2 linked regions of the Sus scrofa genome follow. The protein of the gene in region 1 purifies or fractionates together with the protein of each later gene. This does not show direct contact. Links are inferred from orthologs where the notes say so. Each region holds a gene or a part of one and is shown in the gene's direction. Other genes may lie near its edges.

What was found. Proteins that work in one complex are often made in the same cells at the same time.
Region 2: the proteins of ADRM1 (region 1) and PSMA7 fractionate together in Homo sapiens (co-fractionation; 3 studies listed by BioGRID, with this or other methods). This does not show direct contact. The link is inferred for Sus scrofa from reciprocal best matches to the Homo sapiens genes ADRM1 and PSMA7.

Annotation. Positions count from the first base shown.
Region 1 is NC_010459.5:61,690,830-61,696,687, forward strand, and holds the start of ADRM1 (proteasomal ubiquitin receptor ADRM1), read left to right. Parts: upstream 1-2,127; 5' UTR 2,128-2,209; intron 2,210-2,575; 5' UTR 2,576-2,674; coding exon 2,675-2,685; intron 2,686-2,948; coding exon 2,949-3,162; intron 3,163-3,825; coding exon 3,826-3,942; intron 3,943-4,987; coding exon 4,988-5,111; intron 5,112-5,375; coding exon 5,376-5,462; intron 5,463-5,858. UniProt on the Homo sapiens protein: Component of the 26S proteasome, a multiprotein complex involved in the ATP-dependent degradation of ubiquitinated proteins.
Region 2 is NC_010459.5:61,567,627-61,573,755, reverse strand, and holds the start of PSMA7 (proteasome subunit alpha type-7), read left to right. Parts: upstream 1-2,239; 5' UTR 2,240-2,390; coding exon 2,391-2,486; intron 2,487-4,195; coding exon 4,196-4,322; intron 4,323-4,883; coding exon 4,884-5,008; intron 5,009-5,562; coding exon 5,563-5,685; intron 5,686-6,058; coding exon 6,059-6,129. Other genes in the region: SS18L1 (calcium-responsive transactivator), read right to left, coding at 1,815-1,883.

The DNA of each region.
Region 1 (5,858 bases):
CTCAGGAGTCATGGCGACCATCTCTCCTCTGGCGTCAGCCCCGTTCAGCCTCCTTGGGCAACGTTTGGGCACGTCTTTGGCCCAGGTCCCTGTCGGCCCCTCCTGTGCCCGCCGCCACCGCGCACCCTGCCTTTGGTCTGGGCGATGTGGTGAAGTTCAGGGGGTCGTGCTGGGTTTGCTTTTTGGCGGAGGCTGCCAGGTGCTCGGATGCGTGCAGCCGGGTTCCCCGAGCCCAAGGCTGGGGTGGGCACATGGACTGGCCTCCGTGGTGCCCGTTTACCTGTAGCTTGCTTCCTTATTCAGATTTTTCAAAGAAACTATTGAAAGTGTATAAAGCTTTGTGGGTTTTTTTGTTTTTTGTTTTTTAGGGCCACACCCGCGGCACATGGAGGTTCCCAGGCTAGGGGTCTAATTGGAGCTACAGCTGCCGGCCTGCACCACAGCCACAGCCACATTGGATCTGAGCCACTTCTGTGACCACAGCCCATGGCAACGCCGGATCCTTAAGCCACTGAGTGAGGCCAGGGATCGACCCTGCAACCTCATGGTTCCTAGTTGGATTCGTTTCTGCTGTGCCACGACAGGTGCTGCTTCACTGATTTCTTGCCTGGTTTCACAGGCCATGGGATGGCATTGTCTGCAGGGTGGTGACCGCGTCAGAGGCCACAAAATTGCATCACGTTGTACTAGAATTTTTTTTTCAGGCTGCGTCTGTGACATGTGGAAGTTCCCAGGTCAGGGACTGAACAGGCACCACAGCAGTGACAATGACGGATCCTTAACCCATTGAGCCGCCAGGGAACTCCCATAAGCATTGCCTCAAGTTGGCTGTTCCCCCCGCCCACCTCTGGAACCCTTGAGAGTCTCAAAAATTATCCAGGACCCCACAGAGCTTTTGTCTATATGGGTTTTTAATCTATGGATATTTACCATTATTATAAATTAAAAATAAATATTAACTAATTTAAAAATAACAAAGGCATTTATTATCACAAATAAAATTTTAAAATGAAAAACAGTCATATTTTCCAAAACAAAGAAAAAAATTAGTGACTCTTTAGATCACAAAGCAAGGGGTATGGAACTCACCAGAAGAGGGTACAGGAGTTAAAATGAATGGGTTAGAGCCACAGGTGTCAAGGTGGATAAATCTTAAAAACATTGAGTGAAAGAATACTTTTCACCTTTATACCTTTTATGAAAAGCTTAAAAACAAGTTTTCCATACACATAGAGAGAAAATCACCCAGCACACAGGAAAGTGGGCACACAGTTCAGGACGGCCCTGCCTTTGGCGCCGGGAGGCAGGCGGCGCTGGTGGGGTGTGCGGCTGGGGGCACCTAGCACGTGGGCCGCTTTTCCATTTCTCTGCAGGACTGGGTGTAAATGAAGCGGAAATAAAAGTAGTGGGAGGGCAGCGCCTTCCGTTTATCTAGTCTGGCCTTCCCTCCATCCTGACTGCCCACCAGCCTCTGGAAACGCTGCACCCGCAGACGAGGGGGAGGGGGCAGCCGTGCCAACGCTGCTGTCTGGGGTGCTGGGGGGGATGGGGAGGACTGTGCCATCACTGCTGTTGGGGTACGGGGGCGATGGGGGGCAGCCGGGTCGTCACTGTAATCGAGGAGGATGGGTGGAGGCCATGGAACGGGGTTCGGGGCTGTAGTTTGCCACCTTGCCCCCGGAATGTGAAACCCTCGCGCCCGGCCCCCGGCCCCCGCGTCCTAGGCCATCCTCTCCCTTGAGCTAGCGACTTCTCCTTCGTCTCGGGACCCGGTGTCTCGCACTGACAGCGAAACTGAGAGAGCCTCCAGCGTCCCGCAGGGGCTCGGCCCGGCGCGGCCCGGCGGTCCCGGGGCCAGCGCCCACCGCCCGGCCCGCGCCCGCCTCGCCGTTCCAGGCGCCGCCGCCAGGGGCCGCCGCCGCGCCCCTATGACACAGCAACAATAGGGGCCGCTCTGGCCCGCGCGCCGCCGGCCCGCGCTTCCGCCGGAAGGAGCCGCAGGCGGGGGGGCGGGCCTGGCCGGGTAATGGGCGGCCGCTCTGGCCAATCGCCCGCGGGCCAGTGCCCGCCCCTCTCCTGACGGGGCCCAATCGGCGGCGAGAGCGGCGGGGGGGCGGGGCGAGCGGGACTTCCGGCGGGGCCCGGCAGGCGCCGAGGAGGAAGAGCGATCCCGGACAGCGCCTCTCGGCCGACTCTCGGCGCGGACCAGGTACAGGGGGCGCCGGGGGCGGGGACGGTTACGGGGGCGGCAGGGGGCGGGGTCTGCGCCGTCGGCGGCTGCGGGCGGGCGCCCGGGGGGCGGAGGCCTGAGGGGCAAGGGGCCGGCGCGGGCCGGGGTTCTGGGGCCCGGCTCCCGGGCCAGCCCAGCCGCCGCCCCGCCCGCCGCGCAGCGCAGCCGAGGGCGTCGGGCGGCGGGGTCTGCGGGCGGGGATGGCCAGGTCACCCCGCAGAGGATGCAGCGCCGCCGCGGGGCTTGCTGCGCTTCTCCCGGGTGCTCGGGTTTTTTCTAAGGCAGCGAGCCTGCCCGTATCGCGCAGAAACTCGGTTTTAGGCCACAGCCTTGTCTCCTATCCAGTGTGTTAGCGGTTGTCTGCCCAGCTCACGGTTTTAAACCCTTCGGAGCTGCAGATTTAAAAAGTACGGAGAGTGGTGGTGACGAGGGTCCGCAGCGGTGATGCAGTTCAGGTGCGGGGGTAAATTTCCTTCTCTTAGAAACACGAGAAGCAGCAGGGAACCTGGCTCCCTGGGCTCAGGTACTGCGGGCCCAGGTCCACCCGGGAGGAGTTTGGCGGCGGGTGCTGGGCGGCTTGGGCCTGCCGCCTGCTCCCAGCACAGTGGCAGCCCGCGGTTCAGAGAGAGGGGCTTTCACTCCGCCGCCAGCGAACATTTGAGGAGGAAGTTAGGGTTTCCGTGGCAGTGACTGGGTCCGCTTGCTGGTCCGGTTTCAGGATGACGACTTCAGGCGCTCTGTTTCCAAGCCTGGTGCCAGGCTCCCGCGGGTCCTCCAACAAGTATTTGGTGGAGTTTCGGGCAGGAAAGATGTCATTAAAAGGAACTACTGTCACCCCAGATAAACGGAAAGGCCTCGTGTACATTCAACAGACAGATGACTCCCTCATTCACTTTTGCTGGAAAGACAGGACATCTGGGAACGTGGAAGACGTAAGTGTCTGGTGGCCTCCATCTCATCTCGACCCCCGCCTGGTTGTCAGCGCGGGGCGATTTTCACAGAAGGACCGGTGCCCCAGGGGCACAGCGGCCGTTTCCGTTTTGGCAGGTCTTGGGAGGCCCGGAGCCCCTGGCCTGGTGCCCTTATCAGATATTTTCTTTTGCTTGTGGGTCGTTCTAGCCTCGGGGGGTCTATAGATTCTCCCGTTGCCTGTGTGTCCTTTAAACTTGAAGATTAATTAGGTGCTTTGAATTGGAGAAACTGTATAAAAGTCCTGAACTTACCGCATCCTCGACAGCGTTCTCGAGCGGTCATTTTATTTGGTGTTCTTTGTTCTTCAGACCAAATCATTTCTTGTTAGGTTCGAGAGCAGGTCACAGTTGCCTTTTGACTCATCTTGGAATGTTGCTTCCCCAAGTGTCTCTATTGAAAATCCGTCGAGAGTCAGAAGCCCCCCTTCTCTGTTTAGTACCAAGCCCCTCCTGGCCCTCGTGCCCGCCGTGTGGTGCCTCTGCCCCCCAGAGACCCCGTGGTCTCCGTGTCCTCTCCCCACGCCCCCACACTCAACACGGGACCCAGCGTGTTCTCCCGGAGGTTCCGGGGCTCAGCGATGCTGTGCCCGTGAAGCCGACTCTCCTCCCTGCTGCTCTCTGTAGGATCTGATCATCTTTCCTGATGACTGCGAGTTCAAGCGTGTGCCGCAGTGCCCCAGCGGCAGGGTCTACGTCCTCAAGTTTAAGGCTGGCTCCAAGCGGCTCTTCTTTTGGATGCAGGTACATGGGTTTTGTCAGCATTTATCTTTTTTTCTCCTGTCGTGAAATTAGGTTAGAAAGTTGCTCCCTGGGTGGTAGAATTCGCTGACCGAAGCTGCTTGCCCTGGAACCTTAGGAGTCCAGGGTATGACCTGGGCGCAGGGGCCTGGGGGCGGGCTTGCCCAGGGTCTGGACCTGTAGCTGGGCCTCGGGTGCCCGCTGTGTGCGGCAGTCCCTGGCTGACCAGCAAGAGTCTGCCTGTGGTCCGCTCCTCCAGCGCTCCCGCCCCCGGGGTCCCTGGGGGTCCTCTTGCCCAGGGGACGTGGACGTGCTCCTGCGGTAGGTGAGCCTGTGTGCTTGCAGTTTGGACAGATCCCCCGCCCCGCCCCCGCCGCGCCCCCGGCACTCTGTGCAACGGGGCAGGACGGTCGTGTCATGCCAGCTCACCTCCGCTGAGTAGTGTGACAGTGGCCAAGGACAGGTCAACAGACGGGTGTAGCCACGCTCCAGTAAAACTTTATTTGTAAACAGGCCTGTGGTGTGTCAGCCACTGGCGTAGAGCTTGTTTCTCCATAGTTTTGACCCCACGTGGTGCCTTTTCTGTTCCCTCCGCCCTGAGCTTGGGGACTGTGTCTTGTCCCCCCTCCCCGCGTCACCCTGCAGGCCCACAGCACATGCTCAGTGACTCCTGGACAAGAGGCGAAGGTGTTTGGTCCTGCATTTCTGGGGGTGCTCACAGGGCAGCGCTGCCTGACCCCCCACACCTGGTGCTCATGTCAGCGCCCTGCTGACGGGGGGCGCTGGTCCGTGGGCGGTGCTCCGATGAAAGGGTCAGTGGGGGTGTCACACGTGTGGCCTTGGCCTGCCGTGTGAAGGGCCTGTCCCAGAGGGTCACAAGGCGGTGCCTTTGCGCCCCCAGTGCTCCTGGCACGTCAGGGTCCCCTTCTGTGAAACGGGTGACTGCGGACAGGTGACTCCGCCTGTCCAGGCCTCGGGTGCCTCGCCTCTAAGGCGGCCCGTGGCGGGCGGGCCGCTCAGCCGCGCGGGTGCCGCATCCTCCCCGCAGGAGCCCAAGACGGACCAGGACGAGGAGCACTGCCGGAAGGTCAACGAGTACCTCAACAACCCGCCCATGCCCGGCGCCCTGGGGGCCAGCGGCAGCGGAGGCCACGAGCTGTCGGCGCTGGGCGGTAACCGTCCCCTTCCCGGGTGTGCCGGGAGGTCGCGGTGGGTTTCAGGTGACGTGGCCCCTGAGTGGGGCCCGCTTGTTGCTAAGCGGACGCAGAGGGTTGCTCGTTAGAAGCCCCCTCCCCCGTTCCGGGGTCACCCCCACCGGCGCCCGATGAGACGGCGCCGCCCCGCCTGGCGGGGACACTGGGGGAGGCGGGCCGCGCAGTTCCGGGCAGCGGGAGGCCCAGCCGTGGCCGTCCCGGGCTGACCGCCTTGTCTTGCAGGCGAGGGCGGCCTGCAGAGCCTGCTGGGGAACATGAGCCACAGCCAGCTCATGCAGCTCATCGGACCCGCCGGCCTCGGAGGACTGGGTAACGCGCCCCGGCCCCGGGCCCTCCCCCGTGTCCCCGCGCTCCGAGGGGCTCCGAGCCCTCTGTTCTGCGTGCAGGCTTCCCGGGGAAGGGCCTGCTTTGCCTGAGGCGGGAGCTGGGAGCCCTGGGCGGAGGGAGGCGAGGCCCCGGGGAGGAGCCTGGTCTCTGGGTGGCCCCGGCGCTGCCGCCCCGTCAGGCTGGCGTGGCGCTCAGGAAACGCTTGTCACTTCGTCCTGGGCCTGGGCTCCACGTCACGAGGACCCAGTGCCCTGGTAGCAGGGGGGTGAAGCGTCCGGCTTGGCGGGAAGAGCTGCCTCTTGCCCCGCCGTGGTCACCACCTCCCCTGCCTGTCCCTGGGCTTTGGTGCGCGCGTTCCTGCTCCTCTGGCGGGGAGGG
Region 2 (6,129 bases), about 120 kb from region 1:
CTCCCACGAGCACAGAACACATTTCTCACGCCCTCTCAGAACACCAGTAGGAGAACGCTTCCAAACATCGAAGTGAGTACCCAGCCCAGCCCTCTCAGAGCACGTGAGACGACAGCCTAAGCTGAAGACTCCTCTCCACTGGCCAGCTGGCAGACCTTCTGCCCTGGGACACAGGCTTTCGGATGCTTGGGACCAGCGTGGCCACACACACTCTGGCCCAGAGAATCTGGGGAACTTCAACAGGGAGCGAGCGCCAAGTGCAGCTCCGTGGATGAGTACTGATGCCAAGGTGGCTTTGGGAACAGGGACGATGCTCACCTAAAAATCCAGGGTCCCCAGAGGAGCTCCGGGCTGCCCACCCGAGCCGAGAGCCACTGTCTGGGTTGGCCTCCTGGCTCCAGCACTTACCCGCAGGCACTCGGCCTCCTTCTGCCGCTCTCCTTCTCCACCAGCCGCTGATGAGAGTGACCACTGCAAGCGGTGACGCGCATCAAGATGGGCCCGGCCCAGAGAATCGGGCCCCTACTGAGCGAGCACCACTCAAGTGTGGACTAAACAAGTGAAAACGCCCCACGTTTTCCCTCGTGTTTCTACTGCTTTTTATTTAGAGTTTACAGAGGCTCCTCATTCGTCAAAACCAGTCACAGCAAAAAGAAGCCCTGAAACATCATCACGGGAGAAGGTGAATCCCAGAGGGACATAAAAGGTTCCCGGAAACCCAGGGATTCTTCGGAGAACCCAGCTTAGAAAGGAGAGCAACCTGGCTACCCGACATCGAGGAACTCAAAGGGGAAGAGTCGAGAGCCACTTTCTCCTGAGCTTTATCTTCTAAACAGAAGCAGTAAAAATTTTAAATTTCCATTTCAAAACCTAAGACTTGTATTAAAATGTCCCCAAACCCACGTGAAGGTTATGTCTAGGAAACCACGAGGCCAAACTTATAGCACGCAGGCAAGGCTGTAAAACCAGTCTGTAAAGTTTTGTTAGGTGAAGAGGCTGGCGAAGTGTCAAGGCTGAAAAGCAGCGTGACACTCCAATAAGAGCGGCCGGCCAGCCGGCCCCGAGGCGTGGAGCGCTCCTTAAAGGGCTGCGGGGCTGCAAGACCGGCGCCCTCACTCTGGATGCACCTCTTTGTGCCTCGTAATGCCAGCACCTAAATGGCAGGCGGGGCCGGCGGCTGGGACGGATCCCCGTCGCCCCATGTGCCCCGTGCGCCCTCCACCAGCCAAACTGCGCGCGGGGGCGGGGGGCCGCCCACGGCGCAGCGTCACCACTTTCCCAGTCAGGAGGGTCCCCTCGGCGCACCGGGCGGCTCGCAGACACCACCCTGCGGACGCCCGGTCCGGACGCCGTGCACCCGCACCCCGGCCCCGAAGGCGACGGGTCTCCACTGTCCCCGGCGGGGCCCGGGGTCGTCCCTGGCTTGGCTCTGCGGACATCACCCTGCAGACAACATCCCTTGGACACCACCCTGCGGGCACCCGGTCCTGCCGCCCTGCGCTCCTGCCCCGCGGCCCCGGGCCCAGAAGACGGCGCGTCCCCACTGTGGCCGGTGAGGCCCGGGGTCGTTCCGGGCTGGGCTCCGAGGACACCACCCCACGCGCCGCCTTGAGCCCCAACCCACCGCCCCCGCGCACCCCCGCCCACATTGGCGCACGCTGGCCACAGAGCGCGCGCGGGGCCCCAGCGGGGTCGCGGCGGTCGGCTGCGCCCCGGCTTTGTTCGCGCCCCGCGCCCGCCGGCTGCCCTCGACCCGGCCCAGCGCCCGCCCGCACCCCGTGGCCCCCAGCCCGGGACCGCGGCCCCCAGCCCACCTTCTGGATGGTTTGCTGCGTGACCTCCCCTTTGCCTCTCGGCCGGGCGGACGCGAAGGCCACCGACATGGTCGCGGGCGCAGGATCAGCCCGAGATCATCGGGGTTTATTCTCCGGCTGCGCTCGGCGGCCAGAGGCGCTCATTCTCCGCAGTCGCTGGGGGGCGGGGGGCGCGGGGGGTGCTGCGCCGTGGACTCGCCCGCCCCTCCGTCGCCGCGTTGCCTCCGGACCCGCCGCCTCGCCGCTCCGCGCGCCGCCGCAGCCTGAGACCGAGCTCCGCGCGGCGCCCCCGGGCGGCCGCCTCGCGCTCCGCGCCGGGCCCGCCGCCGCCGCCACCGCCGCCGCCGCCGCACCGCCCCCCGCGCCCGGCCGTCGGTGGTTCGGCCCGGCCCCGCCCCGGCGCGCGCACGTCGCCCGACGCCGCCTTACGCCCGCCTTACGCCAGCAGCGCAGTCGGCGGCGCCGGGGGCGGACGGGCGCGCGGCGCGGGCGCGGGCGCAGCGACGTCGTGAATCGCGGGCTGCGCGGGCCGTGAGTGTGCGCTTTTCCCGGGTCCGGCCGCGTCGCCCCGCCGGCATGAGCTACGACCGCGCCATCACCGTCTTTTCGCCCGACGGCCACCTCTTCCAAGTGGAGTACGCGCAGGAGGCCGTGAAGAAGGGCTCGACTGCGGTGAGCGGCGGCCCCGCGGGGCCTGCACGTCCGGGGATGGGCAGGGCCCGGGCGGCTGGGGAGGCCGCGCTGACCGGCGCCGAGTGCTTCGGGCTCGGGTAGCACAGGGGCGGGGGGGCGCACGGCAGCCGTCACGTGGGGCTTGCTTCGGGAAGGGGCGCTGCGGACCGTGGCCTGCAGACCGCAGGCCTTGGGGCTCCTCCGGTGTCCGGAGCCGAGCGCGCCTGCCGGCGGCGCCATTTTGGGGGTTCGGGGGCCGCGGCTGGGCGGGGGGGGGGGGCTCCGAGCGGCGGGCCAGCCCCTTACCCGGAACGCGCCTTAAGGCACCAAATGATTTGCGCGAACGGCATGCGGACCGCTCCCAGTGAGGGGGCTTCCCCGACCGGGAAAGCAGTGGGCCGGCTTCGAGGACAAAGGGCGGCCGCCGGGCTCAGCAGCAGCCCTGCCGTCCCCGGGCAGCCCGGCGCAGCTGGCAGGCCCCTCCGGGTGTGACCGCCCCCCTCGTCCCCTCGCACCTGAGCGCGGCTGTCGTTTAGGCCGCGGTTTGAAACGTAAATGCAATGGTGCCTTCAGTACGCTTGGCAGTTTGCTTATTGGCTAAACTGTACGATGGTTTTTATTTTATTATTTGGTGTGTCAGAGGTTTGGCCAGAGAGAAAACACACGATTCTGTGAATCTTGGAAGTATTTTCATCTCTTGAACCTCTTCTGCAATGGGGGCTCCAAATCCACCTTGCGACCTATTTCAGCTTAGAGACTAGTGGGGGAGTCGCCTGGCACCTGTCTCCCCCCGCCCCCATTGCATGTGGGGCCCGCCGGCAGGCTACCTTTCTTTAACCAGCGCCTCTGAGCAGGGCCTTCTTGTCTTTGGGAGCTTTAAAGACCAGGTCAGTTTGTAGGAAAGTTGCTTGAAACTTGGAAACACAGCCGACCAGGGCTTCTCTGCAGCCCAGGGGGCGTTTGGCAACGGCCAGGAGACTTCTAGAGGCAGAGGCCGGGCAGAGGCCGGGCGGACGGTAAGCATCCTTCAGTGAGCCGGGCCGCCCTCACATCCAAGAATTGGCGGGCCCGGTGCCCACAGTCCTGAGGCTCAGAAGCCCTGCTCTGGGCTCGGGCGGATGTCGCTCTGCCCAGTGACCGTTTCATGCGCAGCGGCTGCTGTTCCCATTGAGGGCTGTCGACAGGCAATCGTGATTTTTTTCCCCATGTGCGTAAGACATCCTTCTACCTGCGAAGCGACAGCCAGAAACAGCCAGTGGCCTCCCGGGGGTAGCTGACACGTCCACCTGGTCACATCAGGCACTTGCCCACTGCCGTGCACACAGGTTACCGAAGTGCGGGAGCGGGGAGGGTTTGGGTGTGACTTCACAGCCACGCAACACTGCTTTCAGGACAGCTATTTCTGTGTTAAGGACTCAGGCCTAAAGGCTTTACGCCGAATTCCGAATCATGGGGTTGAAGGGGCACATACACGTGGGTCACACACGGTGGTGGTTTTCAGTTGAACTGAAACTGAAGCCTAAGGCCAAGAGTGGGCACCTGGCTGGCGACGCCTGAGGTAGTTGTGCATAAGCGGGTCCAGCCCCACGGTTTGCAGGCTGTGCGTGCCCCCTGCCCCAGTGGTCATGGGGCCGCGGCAACAGCCGCTCTTCGTGCTCTGGGCTGGGATCGCGTCACACGTTTAAGTGCCACGGTGATGCCCGTTGAAGGTTGGCGTCCGCGGAAGGGACATCGTCGTCCTCGGCGTGGAGAAGAAGTCGGTGGCCAGGCTGCAGGACGAGCGGACCGTGCGGAAGATCTGCGCCCTGGACGACAACGTCTGCATGGCGTTCGCGGGTGAGCCTGGGGCCGGGGCTCTCCTCCTGCCTCCTACGAGGGTCACCCGGGGAAGCGCTGCCGGGGACGCCCACGCCGGGGAACAGACCGTTTCCAAGAAACAGGTGCGGCCTGCTTCTTGGGCAGGAGGGTCCCTCTCCGGTGGCTGACGCACAGGCTCTCAGCAGACGCCCGGGGTGAGGGGCTGTGCGGTGGCCCCGTGCTTTCAGCGGCATGTCGCCGTGGGAAAGGTGGGGCCGTCCGGCGCTCTGCTGTCAGGTGCGGTCAGCTCCTGTGGTTCCGCTCATCTCCCTCCTCGCTCATCTCCCTCCTCGGCAGGGAGCGCCCGGTTTACCCAATCCAGAGGTTGACTTGCTTTGTCCCGGGACGCGTGCTGGTCGCCCGCCCAGCTTTCTCAGAGAAGCGCGTGGGGGCTGCTGCTTCCGCCGCCAGTCACTCAGGCGCCGCGCTGGGAACCGGGAGCCGGTCTTAGAAGCCGCCAGAGGTTGTGCCGTCCATGCCGTGCTGGTTTGGACCACTGACTGGAAGGTGGGGCTCAGGCTAGCTCTCCGGTCACCGCAGGCCTCACCGCGGACGCACGGATAGTCATCAACAGGGCGCGGGTGGAGTGCCAGAGCCACCGGCTGACCGTGGAGGACCCGGTCACTGTGGAGTACATCACCCGCTACATCGCCAGCCTGAAGCAGGTAGGCGCCGCCTGCCCTGGGTCGGCTCCCGTCACGGGGCCGTCACCAGTTAGTGTCCTGCTGCGGGTGCGTCACGGGGGTTCAGCAGCAGCCTCACGGGGTGGTCCTCGCCTGCCTCGTGTAACTTCCCATCCTTCGCCTAGTGGTACCTGAAATTTTCTTCTTACGAGGTGATGTGGGCTCATCTCTGGAGGGAAACGCTGTGGCTTTTGTCATGCCCTCCCCAATGATCAGTCACCAGGCAGGTGCGAGGCGCTGACAGTCCCCCTACCCTGGTGATATTCTGGTCACCTGTGAACCGAGTGTGTCTGCGGCAAAGTAGCCCCAGGTCGCCCCGGCCGTGCTCCGGGGGGACGTGCAGCCAGGGTGGGAGCAATGCTGAAAGCCGCTGGCCCGTGTCATGTCTCACCTGAACTGCGAACAACCCGCATGTGGGCTTGCTTTAGGGCCCCCCCTTTCCTGAACCCAGTGTCTGGGAGCACCATGTGTGTTTTACTTGGGTCGTCTGGGGAGTTTGTGCCAAGACAACCGTCCTGTGTCTGTCTGTCCACTAGCGCTACACACAGAGCAACGGTCGCAGGCCCTTTGGGATCTCCGCCCTCATCGTGGGTTTTGACTTTGACGGCACCCCCAGACTCTACCAGACGGACCCCTCAGGGACCTACCACGCCTGGAAGGTGAGTCCCTGGCGCAGCAGGGGCCCTCGGGCCATCCTGCCGGTAGCAGCAGCTCTGAGCTGGCCTAGGTGAGTGTGTGCACACACTAGCTGTCATGGGAGCTGTGGTCAGCAGGTGTGCTACTTGGGAGAAAGGGACCGCGCGGTGCAAGGTACGCGTCTTTCATCAGTAGCGGCTCGTTCTTCATGGAGAACTGCCCCAATGAGCCCTCTGCAAAAAGCAGCCAGAGGGCAGGGCCTGGCATCCAGGCTGCCTCACCTCAGCCCATGGCAGCAGAGCGGGAGCAGGGCAGCAGTGGCCCACGGGGGGTGGGCAGCATGTTCTCGGGCCAGCTCCAGACTGGCACACGCTGCGTGGCACCTCCCCCTTCCAGGCCAATGCTATAGGCCGGGGCGCCAAATCTGTGCGTGAGTTTCTGGAGAAGAATTACACCGACGAAGCCAT